7 linked regions of the Mus musculus genome follow. The protein of the gene in region 2 purifies or fractionates together with the protein of the main gene of each other region. This does not show direct contact. Links are inferred from orthologs where the notes say so. Each region holds a gene or a part of one and is shown on either strand. Other genes may lie near its edges.

What was found.
Region 1: the proteins of Ywhae (region 2) and Nedd4l purify together in Homo sapiens (affinity purification with mass spectrometry; 3 studies listed by BioGRID and IntAct, with this or other methods). This does not show direct contact. The link is inferred for Mus musculus from reciprocal best matches to the Homo sapiens genes YWHAE and NEDD4L.
Region 3: the proteins of Ywhae (region 2) and Rassf8 purify together in Homo sapiens (affinity purification with mass spectrometry; 3 studies listed by BioGRID and IntAct, with this or other methods). This does not show direct contact. The link is inferred for Mus musculus from reciprocal best matches to the Homo sapiens genes YWHAE and RASSF8.
Region 4: the proteins of Ywhae (region 2) and Abl1 purify together in Homo sapiens (affinity purification with mass spectrometry; 4 studies listed by BioGRID and IntAct, with this or other methods). This does not show direct contact. The link is inferred for Mus musculus from reciprocal best matches to the Homo sapiens genes YWHAE and ABL1.
Region 5: the proteins of Ywhae (region 2) and Usp43 purify together in Homo sapiens (affinity purification with mass spectrometry; 3 studies listed by BioGRID and IntAct, with this or other methods). This does not show direct contact. The link is inferred for Mus musculus from reciprocal best matches to the Homo sapiens genes YWHAE and USP43.
Region 6: the proteins of Ywhae (region 2) and Dennd4c purify together in Homo sapiens (affinity purification with mass spectrometry; 3 studies listed by BioGRID and IntAct, with this or other methods). This does not show direct contact. The link is inferred for Mus musculus from reciprocal best matches to the Homo sapiens genes YWHAE and DENND4C.
Region 7: the proteins of Ywhae (region 2) and Pfkfb2 purify together in Homo sapiens (affinity purification with mass spectrometry; 3 studies listed by BioGRID and IntAct, with this or other methods). This does not show direct contact. The link is inferred for Mus musculus from reciprocal best matches to the Homo sapiens genes YWHAE and PFKFB2.

What each region holds. Positions count from the first base shown.
Region 1 is NC_000084.6:65,195,256-65,198,755, forward strand, and holds part of Nedd4l (E3 ubiquitin-protein ligase NEDD4-like), read left to right. Parts: intron 1-659; coding exon 660-730; intron 731-3,375; coding exon 3,376-3,471; intron 3,472-3,500. UniProt on the Homo sapiens protein: E3 ubiquitin-protein ligase that mediates the polyubiquitination of lysine and cysteine residues on target proteins and is thereby implicated in the regulation of various signaling pathways including autophagy, innate immunity or DNA repair.
Region 2 is NC_000077.6:75,749,887-75,753,386, reverse strand, and holds part of Ywhae (14-3-3 protein epsilon), read right to left. Parts: intron 1,507-3,500; coding exon 1,307-1,506; intron 1-1,306. UniProt on the Homo sapiens protein: Adapter protein implicated in the regulation of a large spectrum of both general and specialized signaling pathways. Binds to a large number of partners, usually by recognition of a phosphoserine or phosphothreonine motif.
Region 3 is NC_000072.6:145,745,376-145,749,586, reverse strand, and holds the start of Rassf8 (ras association domain-containing protein 8), read right to left. Parts: upstream 2,801-4,211; 5' UTR 2,621-2,800; intron 2,560-2,620; exon of another isoform or gene 1,213-2,559; intron 1-1,212.
Region 4 is NC_000068.7:31,758,570-31,762,738, reverse strand, and holds the start of Abl1 (tyrosine-protein kinase ABL1), read right to left. Parts: upstream 2,801-4,169; 5' UTR 2,703-2,800; coding exon 2,624-2,702; intron 2,567-2,623; exon of another isoform or gene 2,348-2,566; coding exon of another isoform or gene 2,284-2,347; intron 1-2,283. UniProt on the Homo sapiens protein: Non-receptor tyrosine-protein kinase that plays a role in many key processes linked to cell growth and survival such as cytoskeleton remodeling in response to extracellular stimuli, cell motility and adhesion, receptor endocytosis, autophagy, DNA damage response and apoptosis.
Region 5 is NC_000077.6:67,856,154-67,859,653, forward strand, and holds part of Usp43 (ubiquitin carboxyl-terminal hydrolase 43), read right to left. Parts: intron 392-3,500; coding exon 1-391. UniProt on the Homo sapiens protein: May recognize and hydrolyze the peptide bond at the C-terminal Gly of ubiquitin. Involved in the processing of poly-ubiquitin precursors as well as that of ubiquitinated proteins.
Region 6 is NC_000070.6:86,835,555-86,839,054, reverse strand, and holds part of Dennd4c (DENN domain-containing protein 4C), read right to left. Parts: intron 2,676-3,500; coding exon 2,493-2,675; intron 1,675-2,492; coding exon 1,479-1,674; intron 1-1,478. UniProt on the Homo sapiens protein: Guanine nucleotide exchange factor (GEF) activating RAB10. Promotes the exchange of GDP to GTP, converting inactive GDP-bound RAB10 into its active GTP-bound form.
Region 7 is NC_000067.6:130,702,322-130,705,821, forward strand, and holds part of Pfkfb2 (6-phosphofructo-2-kinase/fructose-2,6-bisphosphatase 2), read right to left. Parts: intron 3,181-3,500; coding exon 3,056-3,180; intron 118-3,055; coding exon 1-117. UniProt on the Homo sapiens protein: Synthesis and degradation of fructose 2,6-bisphosphate.

The sequences.
Region 1 (3,500 bases), on a different chromosome or scaffold from region 2:
CAGTCCAGTGTCTGAGCCCACGTGTGGATAGTAAGGGTGTCACGGGTTTTCTGTAGCTGGTTTTCCTCAGGAGGTTGAACCCAGTGTCTCCCTCCCTGACTCAGAGCCCCAGCCTACAGTATGCTGGTTGCTGTTTTCCCCCTAACCGTGGTAACTTCTGATATAGTCTTGAGCACTGAAGACAAAGCATCTATCTATGCTCATATGTGTAACTGTTAAGTGTGACGAATAAGTTGTTCCATGAGTTTTTCAGGACAGCTTTCCTCTGCTGAGAGCTTGATCCAGCTGACAGATGGAAATTTTAATTGTAAAGTTAATTAAAATGATCTCATCCGCCAGCAGCCTGCTATTGCTCCATTTTCCCCCAAATCAGTTTTTAATGATTTCAGAGTAACATTATCACTCAGCTAAGGCCTTAGCCCTAGAGTGTCTTCTGAAGAAGACAGAACAAAAGCCGTCCTTAAGAGGAAATACAGAACTCCAGGACATGAGAATTGAGGACTCAAACCTCACTTGCTCATGGGTTACTGCACCAGGTCCTTGGCCATTCAGTCCCGACCTCCCATTTACATGGAAAGCAGTTCATTCTTTGATTCCCTTTGCAGATACTTAGGGGTATCAGGGGCTTAAAACTCAACCAAGTTTTTGCCATATTTCAGGATTCTTCATTCGACCATTCTACAAGATGATGCTGGGGAAGCAGATAACGCTGAACGACATGGAGTCCGTGGTGAGTAAAAGCAGTGCGTCCTGTAGCCGTCACAGGCTGCCTCACCCTGTGCACGGTGTCAGGAGCTGTGTTTGCAGTCACAGCTGTTGTCATAGGTACAGTCCTGCGGAACATAGGTACTTCACATGAACAAGAGGGAGGAATCGCTTGCTTGAAATTTAATTGATCTCCTGATTTCTATAATAAGCAAATTATGGTTGGTTTCTGAAAAAACATGGTACTTAAGGTCGGTACGCCTAAGTCTCAATTCCCACTTAACGAACTGAGACTTGATGAGCAGATTAAACCTGAGGGGCACCTGAAGCCCGCCGTAGCCTTGCTCCCCATCTACAGTGTGACAAGATTCCACCTTCTGTTTTATGCCTTCATAGAAGTGGTGGAGGCAAGGCCAAAACAATAGTCATCTAGACATGGTCGTCTCGACACAGGAATTAGTGACAGCTGCAGAATGGGAGCGTGGGATGAGTGTTAGACAGGCTGGCCCTCACAGGGCCCCGTGCTTGCTGCTTACCTGGACTGACTGTCCTTGGCCAGGAAAGATCTACGAAACAAAACATGTCCTTCTTTTCAGAGGACACTTGAATGTCTGGCTTTCTCTATTTATGTATACTCTGTAGTGTATGTGTGTGAGTCTGTGTGAGTGTGTATGTGTATATGTGTGTGTATATGTATGTATGTACATGTGTGCGTGTATGTATGTGTGTATGTTTGTGTGTGTATGTGTGTTTGTGTGTATATGCATGTGTGTACGTGTGTGTATGTTTGTGTGTGCATGTGTGTGTATGTGTGAGTCTGTGTGAGTGTGTATGTGTATATGTGTGTGTATATGTATGTATGTGTATGTGTGCGTGTATGTATGTGTGTATGTTTGTGTATGTATATGTGTATGTTTGTGTGTGCATGTGTGTGTATGTGTGTATAAGTGTGTATCTGTGCGTGTATATGTGTGTGTATGTGTGTTTGTATGTGTATGTGCTCCTGTACATATACATAAGTGTACACACGCACACTGGCCTGTGTGTACTAGCTACATTTTTGTTCTTGTAGAAGAATTACAGCTCTGTTTTCATGTGGTCACTTGAGTTAGAAAGCTGTGCATCCCTTGGCCCCGCTGGCATATGGACCGTGTGTGTCTTGGGCAGAGCTGTGAATGTAAGCGATGCCCATGATGCCAGCTAGAGCTCACTGTGTTTCTGCTCGGTGCTGCGGGAGGCGAGAGACGACTATTGCACTCTGGACCTCTGTGACCTCTGCAGACTGGCTGGCGTCTGTAATCTCAGCTCAGTCTCAGTTTCCCTTCGAGCCTCCCCTTTGTCAATGCTTTCTGCTTCTGCTGTGCCATTCTGAGGAGTCTAAGAGCACAGAAATTGCTTCTGTGCGCTCCCAACCCTCAGTGAAGGAAGGGGGTCAAGAGAGGATTATCACTGTGTATGGGGTCTAGCTTGGCTTAGAACACACAGTCCTCCGGCCTCTACTCAAGTGTTGGGACTCTAGGTGTTCAACACTATGCTGCTGGAAATTGTTCTTAACGCCCAAGTCTGTGGTTCCTATCGGCCACTAGTGTTTGGGGGAGCTTGTTATTATTTTGTTATTTTAATTACTATGTATTAGGGGAGTGGCACATGCCAATGAGCACCGGTGCCCATAGAGACCAGGGGCATCAGAGTTTCCCTGGAGCTGGTGTTACAGGTGCTTGTGAGCTACCCAGGGTGGGTGCCAAGGATCAACCTTGGATCCCCCAAAGAGCAGCGCACATTCTTAACTGCTGAGCCATCTCTGCTCTCCCAGCAGAGCATTTGTGTTTTAAATGTGATGTGCATATAATTTTCGGTCTCCTTTGAGCCTGTCATATTCCTAGCAATGGAGACTTTGGGCATGAGCAGAAGGGACCTGATAGCCTCATGGCTACTCTCTTCTAAAACACAGCTCTGCTTTTTACTTAAATTAATGGGCAAAGAACACTGAAGAAACAGGAAAGGACAGAGCACAAAAATGTATGGTGTTTAGTTAGAACACTGTCCTACGTGGTCTCTGATAGTAGACTCTGAGAAGACAGGAAGTCGGTGTGTTAAATTCTGTGTGGACCTGAGACAGGCATGCTGTGGCCACAAACAACGCGTAGCCAGGCTATAATCCCAGCTCCTGGATGCTGGGTCAGGAAGAGGAGTTGGAGACCACTGTGGGGTTCCCAAACAAGACCCCTTAACTCTCCAGCTGCTCTAACTCCCCTCCCAAGCAGGTGGCCTTCACAGTAGAGATCAGGGGAAGTCACTTTCCACAGATCTTGTGTTTTACATTAGTGGGAAGATGGGGCTCGAGAGATGACTCAGTGGTTAAGAGTGCATGCTGCTCTTGTAGAAGGCCTAGGAATTAGGTTCCTAGCGTGGCCAACAACCAGCCACCTATAACACCAGCTCCTGAGGCTCTCACCTGAACACATGGGCACACATACACACACACACACAAGTACACAGACACAAAATAAAATCTAAGTAAGTAAGCGGGAAGTGGTTTTGTTAGAGCAGACTCCCTGAGTAGCATCGCCCTTGGACATTGGGCATAGAATTACATTAGAATGAATTTATTCATAAAGGAGCCAGACAGATTTTAAAATTCTCACGTTCCTTTCTATGTCATTCCGATAGGACAGCGAGTACTACAACTCTTTGAAGTGGATCTTAGAAAACGACCCCACGGAACTTGACCTCATGTTCTGCATAGACGAAGAGAACTTTGGGCAGGTATGTGGGTTCGTCCAGCTCCTGTGGCT
Region 2 (3,500 bases):
TTAAGCCCAAAGCCTTATTCATGCTGGGCAAAAGTTCTACCCTGCACTAGTAAGTAGGCCCCCATTTTTGAATATACATACACTTACAGCCCATCTGAAATAACTTCAGAAATTCTTTCTTTAGAGAAAGTTAAAAGTCCCAATAATCGTCATTATTAAAAAACAAAAAAACAGAGTGAGTCTCCATAAAGACAGTAATTCAGTTTCATTAGTATTTATACCCCATTATTTATTACACAGAGGCACACAAATTGGGAAGATGGCTCAGTGGGTAGGGTGTTTATAGCCAAGGCTTCAGTTCAAGCTCTGAGCCACACATAATATAGAAAGACCAACTCCCACAGTTGTCCTCATCTCCACATGTGCACAATAGCAACCCCCCCTCCCCCCCGGGGCACATACACAAATAAATGTAAAAACTGAAGTTGTCCTATGTGTTCACTCAAGTAGACAATGAAGTACTTTACAATAGCCAAAGAAAAAGCAACAGTTCCATTTGTTCTTTATGTGTTGTTCAAAACTCAGCTGAGTTGAACACAGCTCAGTGGCAGTGTACACCCCAAGCCTAATCCTGAGTACTGCACCTCCCTGTGGGATATCTTCCCCCTGTGCAACTTCTAAAACAAGCAGTTCTTTGCTTATATCCCAAAATACTCTCTAGACTGTAATTTCTAATCAAGATTAAATAAAAGCTAAAAATGCAAGATACATTTACATATATACTTATGTAGTTTGTATTAAGTGGTGACCTAAAATTATAAAGCTATAGGCCTGCGATTTTGCCAGATACTCACAAGAAACAAGTCTCCTTTCTCCACCAGGTATTAAATATGAACATAAAAGGCAACAATTCAGGTAAAAGACACCCTGTTACTTCTGTCACAAATGTTACTGTTTCTGGACACTACTTTGGCTTGGATGTCTTCTATCCTGGATGTCTTCTATCCTGGCTCAACATAAAAGCAGTTTTGCTATCAGACATGTATGTACCCTGCCACTGCCATCCAAAATGCCCAATAAGAGATTCAATATTACTTCAATCCTATGAGCAAAATAAACCTGTTCTCTATGTAAGTTAATCACTTTTAACAGAGATACAGAAATTAATGGTACTAAAACTGCAAATTAACTCAATGCCACCTATATTTGAGAAGTAATCTATTTCCAGTACTAGAGATCTGACACCTTCTTCTGGCTTTCAAGGGTACCAGGCACACACATGATACAGAGATAGGTAAGACAAAATGCCCATATATACTCAACAAAACAAAACACGGTACCGTATCAAAACAGTTAACAATCTCACCATTTGCCGGTACTCCCGAATCATCTTTAATTTGTCCTCTCCTCCCTTGTTTTCTTCCTTCTGTTCAATGCTGCTGATTATTCTCCAGGATGCTCTTCTGGCTCCAATCACATTTTTATATGCAACAGATAAAAGGTTTCGTTCTTCAACTGTCAGCTCCACGTCCATCCCTGCTACTTTCTTCATTGATTCCACCATTTCTATGCAGGAAATGGTAAAAGGAGACTATAGATTTAACAAGTTTTGTTGACCCATCCCTTTCATGGTTATCTTTTTCCCCCTGCAAAGCTAATAGAAAACAAGAGATAATTAGGGGGCTAGAAATCCAGAGGTGGGAGGCTGATGCAGGAAGATTGCCTTAAGTTCAAAATCCACTATGAGCTACAAAAGTATGGGACCAACCAAAGCTACAGAGGAAGATCCTGTCTGGCCCAGCCAGAACACAAAAGCCCTGGGTTTAATCTGGAGCACATATCCTTTCCAATTAAAAATAACTTTATAATCATCAAATGAGTCAAGTCAAGCAATGGGGAGGGGAAGAGTGCATATGCACGCCTGCAATCTCAGAAGGCAAAGCCATCAATGAGATGCCAGGGAACCTAGTCTAAATTAAATAAGCTATGGAACAGTGGCTCTTGCCTATAACCTTAGCACCAAGCGCTCAAACAGGATTTCTCTAAGTTTGAGGACTGCCTATATTGGGGGGAGGGGGTGAAACGACCCATTCTGAATTCCTCTGCTGGTATAAATTTGAGCAACTATTATTTGTTACCACTAGATGGCAAGCAAAGAAAAGAGGCCCAATAATCTGAGATATTCTAAGTGTAGCAAAAAAAAAAAAAAAGAGTAATAACAGTTTATGAATAACAATGGAAAAACTGAAAACGTAGTAAATATACTGAGTACCTACGATAAGAGGTAAAAAGTGGTTTTGCAAAGGTCTATTACCAACTAGATCTTTAGATTTACTGATTCAGAATCCCTAGTGTTAAGAAGCAAGAATCTATACTTTAACAAGCAGAGACATACAGAAATACCCTGAAAGTATACATTAGTGAACAGCTATCACACAGTGAATTAAGCTATATTAAGCCAAATAAAATAGTTCATGCTGCAATTGTAACCCCTGCAACTAGAAATGCTAGTTAGAAGCTGTCTCATAAAAATTAGTGTGCTTTCCAAATTAGCAACCTGAGTTTTATGTTTCAAAGTCTACCTCTTTACAGCTGCTGAAATGATTGGGCCCAGGTCAGTTAAGCTAGATAAGCACTTAACCTTTAAGCTATGCCCAGCTCAGCTCCCCGCTGTGATTTTGGTCTGCATTTCCATTCCATCTTCTTTCTAGTTGCTTTTTAATTGTTCTGACTGCCCTCTGGTGGGATAAACTGTAATCAGATATTTGATGGAGCCACCTAATTCTTCAATGACCAGTATGAGTCACTTATTTTTAAAATCCCAATAAATTCAGGCCCTTCATCTTTAAAATTTTCTATTCCTTTATGCAACAGACTAAGGGACAGCAAGCAGCATCATGAATCCAAGGCCTAATCTTCCTCTGAATGTCTACAGTGCGTTATTGAAGCCCTCCGTGTAAGTCATCATTATTCTCTTAATATCACCAATGGAAGCATAACCCTAACCAGGGTTCCTCAAAGCTTTGCACAAAAGCTGCCTGATCCAATTCTGGACCAACATGGTCATTCAAGGACTCCCACTCATCTATTAACATAAAATTCTTCACTAAACATGTCTAACATTTCATAAAATCTTTGCAGCAGATGTGACCAAAATTCCAGGAGATCCAAGGCTGGCTATGCAAAGAAGCGCTGTCTCAAAAAGACAAAACAAAAATCCAAAGCAGAGACAGAACATTAATATGACTTTAAATAGAATTAAATTTAAATAGAATTTTGACTGGTTATGGTTTTCTATGATTAATGGTAAATAATAATGTATCTACTTGAAAAGGGAACTTAGATGCTTTTCAAAAAAAGCTCCTGTACTCACTTAAACCTATTAGATAGTAACTACCATTGGGATGAGGACTGGCAAGATAGCTCCTTGGGTAAGAGCACTGCCAGATGTCTGGCAACCTGATCTCTAGAAGCCATGGTAAAAGCCGAGAACTGACTCCACAAAGTTGTCTGACATCTCCATGCACACATGTGCACACACACATCCACACCTTATTCAT
Region 3 (4,211 bases), on a different chromosome or scaffold from region 2:
GAGAGGTCAGAGTGGCTTGAACTAAAGGACAACATGGCAGAGCCTGAAAATCAAACAGGTTTGAGAGCTACTTTGCTGGAAAGATAGCCAGTACTTTGTGGTCAACTGTTTCTGAGAGCTGATGGACAGAAGAGAGTGCAGAGTAAGCAAGACACTTTGTTTGGATAGATGCGTTCGGAAAAGGCAAGGAAGAGTTTGCAAGTCTGGATGGCACAGACAAAGTTCCGGAGAAATGGGAGATGCTGCCATTGTAGACGAAGATGTGCCAGGCACGCCTGAGGTGCCTGTCCATCATAGCTTTCCTGATAACAGTAGTATCCCCATCTTAAAGGCAGTGAATTTAGATCACAAAGCTAGAGAAACGGGGACCATTCTTGGCTCCCTGGATGCTGACAAGTCTGGCTAGCTGCTAGGAGGCATCCCTCCCAAGTCTATAGAACACTAGGAACTACTTCTACATTAGGATATTTAGGACTGAAACAAAGTAACAGCCAAGAAGAGCCAGTAGTTGATACATTGCTCTTTAATTCAAATCCTGTATTTATAATTTCTAATGTTTCCTATCCACACCTCAACCCTATTCCACCTCCACCTAGAATGAACTTGGCCAAGTTTTGAACACTTGCAAATTTTTCTGGGACTTCAACATTTTATAAATGGACAAAGCCGGACTGCCAAAATTAACTCCAACAAAAAGAGCAATGATACCCTGCAGTAAACAATAGTTTTACTCCCAAATTCTATGAAACAACAGAAAGTCCAATAAGAAACAGGAAACCTTTTCTTAAGAAATTAACCATTTCTCAGAAAGCAAGGCACTCAGGTCAAGCACTAACATATGCCACCAAATACAAAGGCTATAAAAGTGAGCACGGAGGATTAGGATTTTAAAAGTCATAAGCTTTAAAACTCTAAAGACAAAAATGCAAAGAAAAGCAACACAACAACCCTGTATGATGCTAAATCTACAATTTCCAAACAGCTCTAAAAAAAAAAAAAATGCAGAATTCAGGTAGTGTGACCCCAGGAATGGCATGGGCACCTTCGGAACTGAGTCTCTCCAGGACACTGACACTAACTGAAAACCTTTCCTATCTGCACAGTCAGCCCCGTGACTTGGCTCCCTCTAGGGGCTCTCTGCTGTCCCCCAAAGCTCCTGTAGCCCAGAAACAGGGCTTGATGGCAAAGATCTCAGTCCATTATGGCCAATTGAGCCCGGTACGGAAAGTACCATCTTGAGACTCTTCAAGGGAGGGGTGACTGATTGGGAGGATTTTTAGAAAAGATTTAATTACCTACACTGCAAATTACACTGTGTTGAATCTGATCCTCCAGTAGAAGAATCATCAAAGCGTGTCCAGTCTTCTTAAATGGAGTATTGGCCGTGTGTACTTTTGAGGTTTAGGGGTAGCTCCCCATGGAAATATATACGATCACAAGAACCATTAACATGACCACTAGAGGATAAAGCACAAACCACTTCCCAAACTGCTAGCGCAGTTGTCCGGAGCCCTGATTCCTGGGTTTATCAGCACCCCACCCCCACCCCCACCCTGCAGTGGGCTGACATTCCCGATTGCCTCCAGCAAAGAACAGGTTTTTGGGTTTAAAAAACAAAACAGGAAAGGTGCCGGTTTTCTGTGCCTCCAAGGTACGATCACAACCCCTGGCAACCACAGATTAAAGACTTTTAAAGAAGAAAGAAAAACTACCTACACCCCCACACACATACACATACACACACACACACACACACACATACACATCCCAAAACTGGGCAGAAACGCAGAGATCACCACATATTTAATATACTTCCCTGGGACAAAACGTGTCTCATGAAAAATGGCTGAGCACCAATCTACAGTTAGGTATCTAAGTGTTCGTCCCTGCTGTCAGCGGGTTGGAGGGATTTTTTTTTTTTTTCTCCTTAACGCAAGGCTTTGATGTGTTGGCAGAGCTGACCTGACAAGCTGGAGTAGGCTAGGAAACGTGTCCTGCATATTTCCTTCTGTGCCTCCAAAGATTAGGACCAGAACTGACTGCGATTAAACCCTACCTAGGATCCAAGGGCTTGAGCCCTTGATGCTGTTCGATGCTGGGAAAGTAGTGGTTCCGCAACCCCGGGCAGCTCGGCGATGCTGAAATGAGCAACCCAGCCCCTAGCTGGTCTCCGCCGCCCACCACCGGGCCGCAGCGGCCTCGCACGCCAAGCCCCCGACCCTTAAAGTTGAGCCTCCTATGATTGCCCTCTGCAAGTTTCCAGGGTGCAGGACGCAGCCAACTTTGCAAGCCGCCTCTGGGCGACTCGCTTCCCCGGAGGGGCTGGCCACCGGGGAGGCAGGGCGGCTACGGTTCAGACAAAATGCAGAAGCCTTCCAACCGCCACTTTTCCTTTTCCAGAGGGGAAGCTCTCCCTCCAGGCGAGCATCCGATTTCCATCTGGAGAGGGAGAGGGCCGACCGCGCATTCCCCTCGCCCACAAAAGTGGCCTCTAAAGTCGCTCGCCAAGGACACCGGGAAGGAGGCGACCCCGGGCAGGGCCAACTTTCGGGAGGCGAGGTGAGGGCGCGAGGGTGACAGCGGCGCCGCGGGGGGCGCGGGCCGGGAAAGTTGTACTTACTGCGCTCGCAGCCCGTCCTCGTAGTCCCGGTGCACGGCCCTCGGCGGAGGCCCGGCCCGCCCAGGCTGAGGCGGCGGCTGAGACGGCCGCGGCCGGCGGCGGCGGAGGGCGAGCGGCGGGCCGGGGCTGAGGAGGCCGGGCCGCAGGGCGGCGCGCGGAGGGCTGAGCCGGCAGAGAGACGCGCGGGGAGGGCGCACGCCGGCCTGGCCCGGCAGGGAGGGCGGTGCGCAGCGGCGCAGAGGAGGAAGGGCGGAGGAAGGAGGGCGGGACCGATAGGGCCGCGGAGCCCCGCACAGGGGCGGGATGAGGGCCGCCGCGAGAGCGAGCCAGCCGGGGAGGCCGCGCCGGGGCAGGGAGGACGAGGTCTGGGAAGTGTGGTGGGGGGCCGAGGAGGCGGGGCGGAGGGCCTGGGCGGGTGGGGCGGAGGCCGAGGAGGCGGGGCCAAGGGCCAGGGAGGGAGGGGCGGAGGGCCAAAGAGGCAGGGCGAACGGCCCGGGAGGGCGGAGCGGAGGCCTAGGAGGCGGAGCCAAGGGCCAGGGAGGGAGGGGCGGAGGGCCGAGGAGGCGGGGCCGAGGGCCGTGATTGCAGGTGGGCAAGGGAGAGCAGGGTGCAGAGCTGGAGAGAGCTGGATGCAGGGCTGAGAGGGGGGCGGGCCGAGGGCCAGGGAGGAGGGCCAAGAGCCAGAGGCTCCGCCCCTTTTCTGGTCGCGGCGCTGGAGAGAGGAGCAGTGTTATACCCCTCACCAGCTCGGGTTACAGCGGCGGCCCCGCCTGCAGACAAGGTTCGGGACAGCGCGGTGCGGCTTTGTGGGAGGCGCTGAGGCCGGTGGGCCGGAGCCTGGCTGAGGTTAAACATTTCCTCCAGTCGCTCGCAGGCTTGGGGTCGCCAGGCCAGTGAGACCTTGCAGCTGACCGCTCTGCGTCTGCTGACAGGAAAGAAGGGAGAAACGGCCCAGCCTTTCCAAGGACTGGTTTGAATGGCTTTTCCTGTAGAATAACTGTGAATTGATGTCCACCGCAGCAACCAGTGATGACCGTTGCAAGTGAGGAGAGATTAAAAAAAAAAAAAAATGAAGTGAATGAATCGAATGTAACAAAGGTTTTAAAAGAGTTGGGATCACTGGAAAGAGGATTGTCACAAGTTCGAGGTCAGTATATGTTACCCTAGCAACAAGCAGTATCAGACCTCAAAGAGTGAATCATATATTATTACACACACACACACACACAGAGAGAGAGAGAGAGAGAGAGAGAGAGAGAGAGAGAGAGAGAGAGGCAGGAATTTTGCCAGAAATTCAAGAACAGCCTGGGCTACATTCTTTGGTTCCAGGGCATCCTGGGCTACAGAATGGGACTGTCAAAAAAGAGAAAGAAGTCTAAGTCGAGCATTCTCCAAGGCATAGTTTGGATTGCTTTTCCTGAGTAGCTGTGATTCAGCAACAGCACCCCCACCTCCCTGAGCAGCAGGCCATGATAGAGGCAACAGACAACGAGGGGAAAAAAGGCAAATGAATCAGAGGTGAGTAACAAAAGTTTAGAAAGAACTGGGCTCAGATTCAAAAAATGCACCCACACACCTTTAAAAATAGCTT
Region 4 (4,169 bases), on a different chromosome or scaffold from region 2:
TTCAGAATTTTCTTACAAGTATTTTTATGTTTGCTTAAAAAATGTTCCTGGTCCTGTTGCTTTATGAAAGCAGGTGTATTACTATTACCTGATGCAGAAAGGAAAAGACTGGTACAGTTTAGGCCCTAGCTGGGCATTTCTAAAGACAGTATTGAATGATCCATAGTGTTTTCCACGGGAGAACAATGCCACGGCAGACCAATGATCCATTATTAGCACAGACAGGCTAAGAATGGGCTTTCTGGGCCAGGTGCTGGGGTGCAAGCCTGAAATCCTAGGTGCTCAGCAGGCTGAGGCAAGAAAATGCCAAGTGCAAAGCCTGTCTCTTTACGTTTACAGATTATTGAGTTCACAGCCTGACTGGACAACTTGGCAAGTCCGTCTCAAAATTCAAAAGTTGGCAAGGGCCTATGGGTGTAGTTCAAGGCCCTGGCTTCCAATACCCAACATTCATTCTCTCTCTCTCTCTCTCTCTCTCTCTCTCTCTCTCTCTCTCTCTCTCCCTCCCTCCCTCTCTCTCTCTCTCTCCACCCCCTCTCCCCCTTTCTCTCTCTCTGTGCAATTCCCTGGAGCCAGATAGCACAAGTTCAAATCCTGGGACTACCACCTGCTGATTCTGTCATCTCAGAGATGTCACCTAACCTTTTTTGGTGCCTCAGTTTCTTATCTACAAGATGAGATAATCAGGGCCACCATAAGAAGTCAGAAAGTGAGGGCATGTGGAATGCAGACAATGCTTGGCCCACTAAGGCCATCTAACTGCTGCTGCTGTCTGTGCTGACCAGGCCTTCTCTGCACAGCAGCAGGGAGCATGCATTTGGTAATAATGGAAAATTCACCATACTCAATTCTCTTCCTGGCCTGTGAGGCCCAGGCCTCTGGGTGGGTGTCATGAACTGATTGATTGATTTAGGATGTAAGCAAGAAATGAAGGCCCAGATTACTTCCCCAGATTCTGGCAACAGCTCTCTTCCCCAGAGACAGACAGCACTTCCGTCTTCAAGACATAATTACACCGAGGCTAGCTTGATTCCGTCAGCTACACAACAAGAATTCCGTCTACCTTTTTGAACTCAGTGAACAGAAAGAGCTCCTAGAGAGACACCTTCCTGGAGAAGGCCTACAAAACCCAAGTGAGGACAGCACTCCTTTGGAACTTGGCAATGCTAGAATTCACCTTAAGGATTATGCTGGAATAAGAATGGATTTTTTCCCCCTTCTAAAACAAGAATTAAACCAACAGCTCTGCACTAAATCCCACATTACCCCAGGAACAAGCTGATACCTTAGCAAAGCTGTGACATGCCCCAACTCTGCAGTTACAAAAGTCCATTCATCTCCGCCTCCAGCGGCTCAAAATGGAGATAGTGCCTCTCACTAACTGGATACAGATGGGGAGGAGAAATGTGCGGAGAGTGTGGAGCAACTTGGAAAAAATAAGCAACGCATTAACTGAGGATGATTCTGGCCGCTCAGATGCCAACTCTGGGGACAAATAAACCATCTCCCTCCCTCTAAGTGGTAGGCCCTGAGCTCATGCCATCCACACCAAGCTCCTCTCAGGAATCCAGGCCCTGAAATCCCCGGAGGGGCTGAAATCTTACTGTGACTTATAGCGAAGTCCCTTATACTCCCTTCTAGCAAAGGGAGAACATCCTCTACCCGAGCTGGGCACCTAAGTCTGAGCTGGGTCATGTGGGGCCCTGTAGGTCTTTGAGTCAAAGACTTGGAAGGGGGGTCGGGGAAGCAGGTTAGATATTGAAAAGCCTTCAATTCTTTACAATTCAAAACAGTAGAAATCCAAATTGCTCTGAAGAAAACTTTACATTTTTACTCCTATCTTAACTCTTACATGAAACAGCCAGAAAAGCCAGGGCACCACACATCTGTGAGTGCTTCTGCCCTTCTGAAGAAGGCAGCAGTCCCCACAAAGGTCAGCTATACTCTAACAGGCCTGGCCACAGCCGAGTCCCCAGCACTCACCACTCACCCTTTTCCCTTGCCATCCTTTTAGACCCAAACACTAAAGACAACAGGAAGGAGGCATGGAATTGGAGGAGCAGGGTAAAGCAGGCAAAAGCAACAGGCTCCTGGCTCTAAGTTTATGCAAAGAACAAAACATGAGGGGCTCCCTCACCAAGCATCAAACTGGAAGCTCTCAAAACTCCTGGAAATACAAGCAAAACCATTCTTTCTCTTCTAAAAAGAGACAATCCCCAAGACCTCTTCATGGTCTGCAGAAAGGTGGGGGTGGGGGTGGAAAGTTCACATGAAATTCTGTACCCATAAATGGTAGAGCGGGATCCCTTTGTACGCGGCACTTGGTGTAGGTCCACCTTTGTGACATACAATTCCCAGTTGGCAGTGGAAACACCACAACGTGGGCTCACAAGGACCTTAAGGCCTGTGGCACTGACTTTTTCAAACTTTCTGGGCAGGAGCCACACTATGCGCTTGGGCCCCGCCAGCGCCAAAGCCGCGGCTCTCTCTCTCTTTCTGGAAGTCCGAATGAGCCACCAGCACCCGCAGAGGCCTCAGAGGGAGAAGACTGGGGACCTAGAACACACAGGGCACGGGCGGGCAGGACAGTCCTGGTGGGCCCCGCGCCCAGGCCAGGATTTACCTTCCAGGTAGCAGCTGGAGGACGAAGAGAGCCCCTTCTTGGATTTGCAGCCCACCAACTTCAAACAGATCTCCAACATGGTCCCGTGGCCACGGCGAAGGCCCCACCACCCCGGGCCCCCAGCCCCGCCAGGCCGCGCTCCCAGCAGGCCCGCGCCCAGGCCCGCGTCCCGCCTCCCGCCTCCCGCCTAGGCCGGTAACAAAGGGCCCAGCGCCCCGCCCCAGCCGTCCCTTAACCCCTTCCAGGCCAAGGGAAGGCTCCACGCCCTCCCCAGCTGCGTAGCTGCGCTGGCGTAGCCCCTGCCCCTGCCGCGTGTCCGGGAAGGTCGGTGGAAATGCAAATTCCTCTCAAGTTACCAGGACTGGTCTCGGGGAGCGACTGTGATTAAACCTAAAGTGGGTATCTGAGGAATGTGAACAGTCAGGGCTGGAACCCACAGGAATACCGAATACCGGACGCGGGTCCAACCACCCATTTAGACCTGGAGTTGTGAGTTTAAGCTTAGGGAAATGTCTCTATGGTGCGTGTTCATTGTGGGCTGGAATGGCGGTCCTTCCTGACCTCATTTTTACAAGAATTTCCCCTGTTTTTGGTGCCACAGGTAATGTTTGAATCCATTTCACGGTGAGTTTTTGTTTTCCTAAACGCTAGCTCGAGGTTACCAACAAGATTTTAACTAAGCAATGGTCACAGCAGTGGACTACTGGCACTAAGTTGGTGGGAAACAAGGACCCCAACTACAACAAATCTAATAAAAACTCACCCAAGTTCCAATGACAAGGGAAAAATAAACTTATGAAATAATGTCACATAACTAAAAGTCTGGTCCCCATCCTTGCACTTGAAGAGCTGACTGTCCCAGGATGGTTCTCTGAGAAGTGCTCCATGTGCCTTGGTACCCAGAGGGTGCGTGCACCTAATCCTGTGAGGAAAGTTATATCATGACCCAGATTCTTCATGTGAGAACAGACACTCCAGAAGGTCACATGGTGGAAACCAGAAGACTCAACTCAGTCAGGGTCTGCCTGGTTCCAAAGTTTGGTCTCTTGGCTTCTAAGCAGACTGTACCGGATAGCTAGATCCATGACAAAAGTTATCACCTGCCGGGCGTGGTGGCCCACGCCTTTAATCCCAGCACTCAGAAGGCAGAGGCAGGTGGATCTCTGAGTTCGAGGCCAGCCTGGTCTACAGAGTGAGTTCCAGGACAGCCAGGGCTATACAGAGAAACCCTGTCTCGAAAAGCAAAAGAAAAAAAAAAAAAAAACAGTGCCATGACTGTGCCTGTGACAGGCCTCTCAGCCAGGATGTCACACACTTTTCGTGCTAATCAACCCAAAAATGTGTCTGTGCCAAAAATGTGTCTGAAGCCAAGTGGACCTACTTTGCTGCCAGAACAGGCCTCACAAGTACCCAGGGGACTTTCAGAACTCACGCCATTCAATCTCCTGGAGAAAAGGACCAGAGTGCCCAGGAGGCAAGGGTACCAACTGGATACTTTCCTGATCCTGGGAGACCATTTTCTGTGAGAGCCCACATGCTGACTAGC
Region 5 (3,500 bases), about 7.9 Mb from region 2:
CTGTCATCTAAAGACCCCAGGGCTGGATGGTGGTTGAGGTGGCATGAGGAAAGGGGCACCCCAGTTGTTCCTTGCCCAATGGCTCGACCGCTGTCTTCACTTTTAGCAGGAAGGGTGCCATCTGACCTCGGTGACGCTGAAGTCTCTTCCCCACCAGCAGCACGAGTCAAGAGCGGCACAATGGACTGGCTGGTAGAACGGGGTCTTCTTCTGGACTCTAGGTATTCCACCAGTTCAACGGATGCCCCGGGACGTTTCTCCCTGTGTCCAAATGACCACCTCAGGGGCATGGTCTTGAAGGGCCCATGCCTGGATCGGGAAGCAGGAGATGCCTTCATGCTGATACTTCGGCCACCAACACCCCGAACCAAAGGTCTGGTCTCAACTCCTCCTGAAAAAGACATGAAGACCATGAGCACCTGCTAAGGGATATATGCCCTGCCAGCCTTCAAGCAATGGTGTATCTGGGCAGATACATAATCAGGTCTGGGTACAGTGACCATAGCACAAGCGAGATACACAGGGGTCCTGCCTTTCAGGGCCACCAACAGTTTCATCCATGATCTCATAGAATTCATGTACACATTAAAAACCTACAGGGGAAGCCACAGGCCAAGAAGACAGCCTTTTTTGACATCCATAGGGGATTGCTCCTAGGATCTTCTGTGGGTGTGCAAGTCCCCTCTAATACAATAGCATGCGTAGTCTTCCATGGACTTTACGGGATTTCTAGATTATTTATGATACTGACACAAAGCAAATGCTATGTAAACAATTGTCATGCTATGTCCCTTAGGAAGTAATCACAAGAAAAAATATCTGTGCATTTTTAGTAGATATTCTTCACCCTCCCCAGACGTTGTCCCCGCCACCTCCTGAACCTGCCTGCAGTTGACTGAATCAGCAGATAAGAAAATGATGCTGAGGGCTGACTACATCCACGTGCCCTACAGCCAGACCACCGAGGGGTTCACTGAGTCAGCTGCCCTGAGGTCTAACATTATTATCATCTATCTTTAACTATGTCTAAGGACAGAATGTTTACCAAATGTCTCTTAAATTGGGTCAAAACTGGGTACTTCTACTTTAAAATGAAAGGATGTCTGTCACATATCCCATACTGAGCCCAAAAGAAAACAAAGTAACTGTAGGCTTCATTTTATCCAATTTACCAGTGCTGCCTTTGTGTCTTATTGTAGTTTGCAATTGCCTGTAAATAGCTGGGAAAGTGGTTTTGGTATATAGTCTTAAGTGAGTAGGTTAGAATCCTACAAGGCACTGTGATTCAACTTGCAGACACGCACACGCATGCACACAGACACAGACACACACAATGTACTATGCATGCATGTGAAGACGGACATACACAGCAGGTTAGAGAAACGGATTCTCAAAGTGATGAAATGGGGAGGGGCTGAGAGTGTTGCTACTTCATTACTTACTTTCCTAATTCTTTTCTACAGCTCGGCCCTTCTAAAAAGAACATACGGTGATCAGCATCCAGTGCCCTTCCCAAGTGGTGTTACCATCGCCACACTGCCGGGACTGCTTGGCGCCTGACATGCGCTGCCCCTACTCCATGTAGGCTGCGTGCTAGTCGGTCAAGTACATAAGCACGGTGCTGGCGACCACAGCTGGCTGCTGACCATAGGCTGCTCATGGAGTTTAGAGTGTTATCATCGGCCGAAGCTTACATCCCTCCCAGTCCTTAAGTCGAAACTCTAACCCCAAGGTCATAGCTTTAAAACAGTGTCCTTATCAGAAGAGGTAGGAAGAACCAGAGTTCTGACTGCATCAAAGAAGAGGACTCACCATAACCCAACCTAACTACCCCCCGATTCCATCCTGCAGAGCCATGAGGAATAAACTTCTGTCACTGGTAAGACCCCAGCGTATTTCTGTTACAACAGTCCCAGAGGTCTATGACAGACACTGACTTTAAAGATAGTCAAGGACTTTGGCCACAAAACACCCATGTGGGGATGTCCTGAGATTCTCAGGCACACAGGTGTGAGGTCAAGGAGAGCAAAAGTCACAGCGAATGCTGGGATAAGAATCTAAGTGCACAAGGACACTTAGTCTGCCCAGCAGCTGAGAAAGCAGCCCCCAGGGGGAGGGGAAAAGTACGGAACCAGCCTCAGGCAGATGGCAGAGAGGATTCATGGGGCTCTCGCCTGTCGGGGGTTTCACATGCCATTTTTGATATCTTTTTCTTTAGAGCTTTTCTTTAGACTGGCTAGGAATAGACCTAATTCCACCCAAAATACTTTGTCATTTCAGTTTGCATTGACCTTGTGGCTCCGCCATTCAATCCCCACACCTGGGGAAAGATAAAACACAGCTCTGGAGGCTGGGGTGTGTGTGAAGTTTTCTTGTTCCTCGTCCACCGCCCTGAGAAGGGCAGAGAGGGAAGCTTTGCATCAGGAGGACAAAGCTGTGGCTTCTCGCCCTTCACCAGGTGGAGTGGCCTGGAGCCCTGGCAGGGAGCGAGAGGACCTGGTTGCTGCCGTAAATAACTACTTTTCCCTTCTTCCTGGTGTGGAAGGGCCCTGGGCCAGGGCTGACAGCAACCCACAGGACACACACCCAAAGGACCCCTTCAGCTTGCCTCTTTTTGGACAAAAAGCACCCTTTATTTCTTTTCATCTATTTATCGCCCCGTAACAGGATCTGAGGGAGTGGGGACGGAGAACCTTAGATAAACTGAGAAGTAAATGGTATAAGCAGAGAGAAAAAGCAGCAGGTACCCTTACGGGCATTGCTCACTACCAAGCAGCCCGCCTCTTCTCCAGCCTTTCCTCTGGGAGATGGGTCATCTGGGAGCGTGGAAGGAGACTGGGATCCAGGGAGCCTGAGAGCCACAAAGGAGCTAGTCTTTTTTGTTTTTTTTTTTTTTTTTAAAAACATTTATTTATTTTTATTCTATGTGTGTCTGTCTCTACATATATGTGTACTGTGTGAGAGTCTGGTGCCTGCCTGCATAGGTCAGAGAAGGGTGTCAGTCCCTTGGAACTGGAGTTACAGATAGGTGTGAGCAGCCACGTCATTGCTGCGAACTGAACCCAGGTCCTTGGCAAGAACAAACATTCTTAACCACGGAGCCACCTCTTTCTCCAGCCCAAGGTGTACAGTCTTAAGCTGCATCTTCTTAGAGGTTGGAGACACCCTGCAAAAGACAGTCACCTTCTCAGGCCCTACAGGACCCCTCTGTGGTGGGTCCTTGGTCTGCTGAGGCATACAGCCTCCAACCAACCATAGGGCGGCTGCTCCAAGAGATGCCTCCTCTGTTCCCGTCTGCGTACAGACACCTTGATTCTCAAGTCACTTCTGTTCCTTGGGCCAGTGATGTGATCTCCAAATTGAGGTCACACCGTGCTGCTGGCAGGAGCCTTAGGGCCTCTTCTCCCCATCCTTAGTTCATCTTCAATGGGTCAAGTACTTTCAATATCCCTAAGGGTTTCCATCACATCTTAACATCCACCCATTAATTTATCCCAAAA
Region 6 (3,500 bases), on a different chromosome or scaffold from region 2:
CGAAGGCTCACAACCTCAAAGTAGCTATTTCAGATGCATAAAAGATATATAGACTTTGGATCTGGCAATTTTTGGCATCTAATATTTTTTATATCCAAGTTTTTCTAAAAGTTAATTTTAGAATTAAATTTAAAATTTTAAAAAGTTAAATTTAGAATAAAATTAAAACAAACAAACAAACCCTGAAGCTAACTATGTTTCTAGATTCAAATGCCAATTTGTAAGGTTGCAATCAACCAAATCAGGACTGTGGAAACCTCTCATATCTAACTGGGAGAAAAAATGGTGCCTGTAATTTAAAGACTAAGTGCCCCAACCAAGCAAGGCTGACTTTACTTTAACCTTGATGTCTAAGACCACATCGTGCCCCAGAAATACTTCTGACACAACTTTCATGATTAAAACTCTGAACAAAGACTGAATATCCTAATGATTCCCTAGTTTAGGGTATAATATTGTGATTATATTTGTTAAAGTCATCATTTACAGATACCTGCTGAAATATTTATATGTAGGATAGACATTGCTTGAAATTGCTTTTAAAATAATTTAGGTATAGAAAAGTTAATAAGGATTTTCATAAAACAATAACCAAAAAATGGCCATAAACTAAAAATTACTAAAGGTAGCTGTTGGGTCAAGAGACTTAATAAGCTGGGTACATAAGTACATACTATTTGGATGGCAGAGGCAGGAGAATATCTGTGAATTTGAGGCCAGTCTAGCCTATATTGTGAGACCTTGTCCATTTTTGAAAATTTCAATGCTAAGGTTTAAGCTGGGTGTGGTGGCTCATGCTTGTAAGCCGGCACTTGGGAGGCAGAGGCATGAGGCCCCCACACACTTGAAGTTAGTCTCATCTACATACAAAGTTCCACAACAGTCAGAGCTACACAACAAGATCATGTCTCAAAAGCCAAAACGCATGCACACAGGTACAGTTTCTGTTTGAAAACCCTTCTGTTTCTTTATAGACTTTTGGGACAGGCACACACAATCACACCTGGCAGTTTCCTATGTTCCTATGTGTCTGAGTATGTGCAGCACATGACACTGTCTCCCTCAACAGTCTCTACCTTATTTTGTGAGACAAAGTCTCTCAGTGAACCTGGAGCTCAACAATTCAGCCTGGCTGACTGACTAGCAAGTCCAGTAACCTTCCTGTCTCCATGCCCACAGTGTTTGGATTATTGGCCCGGGCCATCCCACACGGCTTCAACACTGGTGCAGGAGATCTGAGCTCCTGAGTGGTCACGCTTATGCAGCAGCATTTTAATGGTTGAGTCATCTTCCCAGCACACAGGATCTTGCCATGCAGTTCTACCAGGCTTAAAATTCACAAAGATGAATTTAATCCTCCTGTCTCCGCCTTAAGTGCCACCAAAAAAATTTGTACTTTTCACATGATACCATGGAATTGTGGGATGTTCCAAGCTATATATTACACAAGTATATGGTGTGGCTCTAACAGTACATACCACATCTTCCTGCAGACTGCTTGGAAGACTGACTGTTGAGACGCCATGAAATGGTCGCTGGGAGAAGTCGATATTCTGCAGAGGGCCTCCAACACTGTGACTTCGAGTCAAAGATACGTTTCGCTTAGATAAACTGTTAGGCACAGATGACATTTTCACACTCTGGACATCACCATTGGTTTTCTTTATTTCATCACTGAAAAAAAATGAAGCAATGCTAATCATGAAAAATTCTAGAGAGGTACAGTATTTTCTACAGTGGATTTAAATGGTCTGAATCCCCCGAGAAGGACTGGCATCTGTAAAAGATTAAGTGTGGGGCTAGAGAGATGGCTCAGCAGGAGCTCTTCCAGAGGTCCTGAGTTCAATTCCTAGCAACCACATGGTGGCTCACAACCATCTGTGATGGGATCCAATGCCCTCTTCTGGTGTACTTACATACATAAAATAAGTAAAATTGTTAAAACAAAAACAAAGCATGTACTTCTGATAGCACGGAACAATTTTATATCTATAAATAAAAGCCTTAAATGTGAAGCTGGAGGTGGGGCTCAGTGGTGGGGCACTTGTCTCCTGAGGCCTGCTCAATCTCTAACCATCTCTCCCCATGGAAGCATTAAACATTCCCCAAGCATTCTCCTAACCCTGGTCAGATGGTGACGGGTATACAAGGACATGATATTAACAAAACTGTCTATTTAGCTGTTTTATTGAACCATAACTTAATCTTTATTAAACACAATCTCTAAGAAGTACTTGTCCATGTAAGTAAATACAGATTTGCTGGGAGGCTTTTGATTTATACCAGGCTACGATCTAACTAGAAACAGATAGAATACTATTTACACTGGCAAGGGGCAGGGATGGGACAGACTGGACTTGAATTTATAATCTTCCTCATTCAGGCATGTACCACCAAGCCCAAGCATGACATCCCCATGTCTTTAGATGCAGAATGTTCACAGGAATACTGCATTTCTCTTCTTACAGTGAACTCTACGAACTCTTCAATACCTTGATTCGACTGTATAACTTGCTTCTTCTGTTATGGTCTCACTGTGTTTTGAGAAATCCATAAAGCTGATCAGGTCAGGTTCTGCTGAACTGGACGTGGGTTTGTGTTCAGAGGGCTCACTGGCTGATGGAATGCTGCCGCTTTGTAAACTGTCACCAGACGTGCTTGGTTTCAAGAAAAAGCTAAGAAAGAAAGAGAAAGGGGAAAAACGCTTAAAACAAATCTCCAAGTCTAGGTTAGCTCAGTGAGTAAACATGTTTGCCATGTAAGACTGAGATCCTGACTTGGATCCCTGGAACCCACAGTGGAAGCAGAGAAACAACTCTGGAGAAGTCGGCCTGTGACCTCCACACACACTCCTGTTTCTGCATATATACAAACACACACTCATATCTATAATATATATGTTTTGTTTTATTTTTATTTTTTATTTTGAGACACGGTTTCTTTGTGTAGCCCTGGCTATTCTTGAACTCACTCTGTATACCAGGCTGGCCTCCAATTCAGAGATCTATCTGCCTCTGCCTTAAAGATGTGAGCCACCACCACCAGGCTTACAATATATGTATTTAAAGCAGGGTCTTCTTGTGTATAGCCTTTATTGGCCTGGAATATAATATGTAGACCAGGCTGGCCTCCAATCTCTGATCTCTGTGACACCAAGTGCCTCTGCCTCCAGAGTACTGTGATTAAAGGCATGTGTGACCAATTCTCTCCGCTTAAATCCCCATGTCCTCAAATAATCATATTTAGAATCCCTGCTCTATAGTAAAACATCATTAGCTGGGAATCCCCAGGGACATGTTCCCTTCTCAGATGCACACCTCTGCTCTCCTCCCACTTTCCATCCTAAGATCTGCAAATAAGAGGGCTATGGTGCTGACTGCTGACACGATGAAAGAAAACGATGAAAAGGGAAAACAAGACATTCCCTAATTTAAAAAAAGTCACGGAGGCTGGAGTGATGGCCCAGCACTTAGGAGCACTTGCTGCTCTGCAGAGGACCT
Region 7 (3,500 bases), on a different chromosome or scaffold from region 2:
CGAGGATGGACGTGGATATTCATCAGGTAGTAGACAATCTTACTCTGGATGTAGTCCTGAACTCTGTTGACCAGGAATCTCTGGCCTACATTTATCACCTTTATGAAAGAAAGATCCCTGGGGCAGGGGAGGAGGACATTTCATGGTAAGAAAATCTAAAAGTAAAGTAGGTGTGAGGTGGGGGGGGGGGGCGGCAAGGCTATCAGCACCTGCACTTAGGAGCCTAAGGTGGAGGGGGCTCCAGTCTGATGCTCTCAAGACAAACAAGTCTAGAGAGAATGATTTGAATACTGACTTGTACGACCTCATCAATTTGTCCTCTCTCCCTCATCACTGCCACGTTTATGGAACCAAATGCTAAGAGACAGTACATCTCCAAACCAAAATGAAATACAATTTCTTGAATCTCCAGTAAGAATGTACTATTTCTTCAGTGTCCAACCTGTGTCATGTAGCTTATCTAAGTGTGGAAAATAAAATTTCAGGCTTTTCTAAGTGACTTGAAGATTTTGCTAAATTCAAACTTTTGTGAGACATCTGGGGCCCCCATGACATGGTCAAAATCTAGACAGAACATGGCAACTCAGGGGGAGGAGAGGAGAAAACAAAGCACACACTCACTCTAAGGATGCCTGCTATACCCTCTGACACCTAGTCAACCTTTCTCAAAAACACCACTGCAAACTATCTGCTTTATAGCCATGGGGTTTTTCTTAAATTTAAATAAGAGCTCATTCAAAATAATGACCAAGGAAAAAAGACACAACAAGGTAACTCATTATGGATCTCCCATCAGAGATAAAACCCTTCAAACATACATACATACATATAAATATGAATATCCCTCTAGAATGCTTTCCTACACAGGACTTAGAGCAAACTAAAGATACCTCTTTATGTCATATCTGGGGCAGTGCCTTTCAGCCATTATTATGGAAATGTTTCTAAAAACGAGTATTTAGAAATCTAAATACAAGTATTCTGGGAAATCCATTTGAAGGAAATGCAAAGTTGTAAACATGAATGGGCTGACTGCAATAACTTAACACTGTGCTTGTCTACCATGTCTTATTAAATGTCCTACATGCTGCTCTCAATCATCAGCTTGGCTGGACTAAGTAAGCAATGCCTAGGAAATCAGGGGTGCACACCTCTGGGTATGTCTGTGATGGTGTTTCCACAGAAGACCAAATGAGGGAGGAACCCTCGCCCTGACTGTGGACAGCATCGTCTTATGGCCTAGAAGGTCGTGGACTGAATAGGAGAAAATGGAGCCAGGCATGGAGCCTCACATCTCTCAGTACTTAGGAGGCAGAGGCAGGACTACTCTGAGTTCAAGGTTATCCTAGGACACTGAGATCTTGAATCAGAAAATGGGGGAAGAGGAAAGAGAAAGCTGGGTGAGCACAACTTTCCTGCTACTTGAGCCTCTGAGGTATGAACAAGCAGCAGCCTGTGGGAGGAAGACAGGCCTGCTCCTGTGATTTCGCTGCCAAGGTTGCTGTACCTGCTGAGCACTGGGCCAAAACAAACTTCTCCTGAGTAACTTATGTCACGTGTTCTGTCACAATGGGGAGAAAACTACTGACTATAACATTGTTTCATCAAGATACAACTGTGTACCCAGTAATCCCAGCACTATGAAGTTGGGAGCAGGAGGACCAGGAGTTTAAGGTCATCCTCTGTTATACAGTGAGTCAAAGGCCAGCATTGATTCCTTGACACTGTCTCAAAAACACAAAGCAAAACACATTTCCTAAGGCAATGTTCCCACAGGTCTCCGTGCTTTCTTCCTTCAGCATAACATTTTACTATACCCCACACCAGGCAAGCCCTCACTGTTATGATGTCTCACACTGATCAGACATTTCCTCTTGAGTGAGGCAAACTTTAAAATTTATTAAAACTGATGACACATCTCCAAGGGATATCCTACAGCATTCTAGTTCCAATTTGCTAAATCTGGAGCAGCGGTTCTCAACTAGAGATGATTTGTGCCCCTAAGAGACTTTTGGTAGTGCCTGAAAACATTTCAGTCATCACAGCTTGGATCTTTTCCTGGCACCAAGTAGACAGAGGCCAGGGAGACTGCTAAACATATTATAATACACAGAGCAGCCCCTTCAACAAAGAATTCCATAGTTCAAAATCTCAGTAATACTTAGATGGAAAGCCTTGCTCCAGAGCAGTTGTTCTCAACCTTCCTAATGCTGCAACCCTTTAACACAGTTCCTCATGTTGTGGTGACTCCCAAGCATAAAATAATCTTCATTACTACTTCAATAACATTAATTTTGCTATTGTTATGAATCATAATATAAATATCTGACATGCAGAATATCTGATATGTGATTCCTGTGCAAGGATCATTCAACTCCCAAAGAGATCAGGACCCACACATTAAGAATTGCTGCTCTAGAAAATACAGCAACCGAACAGAAAAACTGATAAGAACATATGGTTAAGCATGATTAAGTAAAATACATGTCCCAAATAAATATTTGTGCTAGCTAGTTTTATGTCAACTTCACACAAACTTAAGTCATCTGAGAGGAGAATTAAAGAAAATTCTCAATTGATAAAAGTGCTTTGTAAGCGAGCTGTAGGGCATTTCCTTAATTAGTGATCAGTGGAGGAGGGTCTTGCCCGTTGTGGGTGATGTCACCCCTGGGCTGGTGCTCCTCGGTTCTATAAGAAAGCAGGCTGAGCAAGCCTTGGGGAGCAAGCCAGTAGACAGCACTTCTCTGTGGCTTCTGCATCAGCTCCTGCCTCCAGATTCCTGCCCTATTTGAGTTCCTGTCCTGACTTTCTACAAAGATAGACAACAATGTAGAAGTCCAAGCCAAATAAAATCTCTCCTCCCCAACTTGCTTTTGATCATGGTGTTTCATCACAGCAATAGTAATTGTAACTAAGACAATGTCACAATAAAAAACTCTGTTCTGTGAAATGATACAAATATCATAGGTTTAGATTACCAGAAGAAATTAGAGACCAAAAGAGAAAGACAATTTTCCTTTCACCTCAACCCTCAGATCATGGTGTTAAACCTTACTTATCATAGTTGTCTGGGTCAAGGGGCTGGTAAGTGACCTTGTAGCACTCAATTCTCTTCAGGAAGTCCTCCATCACATTCTCCCTATTCCTTTCGGGGTAGTCAGGGCTCGACACTTTTACCTCCTGAAATCACAGCAACATAAAGACCTGGTCAGAGTTATGTTCTTAAGAGCCATCCTACAAATAGCCTCTTCTAAAGAACAGAAAAAGAAGTCCTTAAAGCAGCTTGTCACCAGAGCACTGGCATTCCCCAGTCACTGAGCACTCTCATCCTGTCCTGTGACCCTGGCAACCAAGACAGGGAAGATGGTGGGGAGTCATGTGCTTTCCTTTGGCCAAAGGACAGAGGCAGCTATGAAGCTAATGCTGCTTCTGAGCCCAAATCCCTTTATACATTTGCCTGTGAACACAGAATGAGCTCTAATTTCCCCTCTATTGCTACT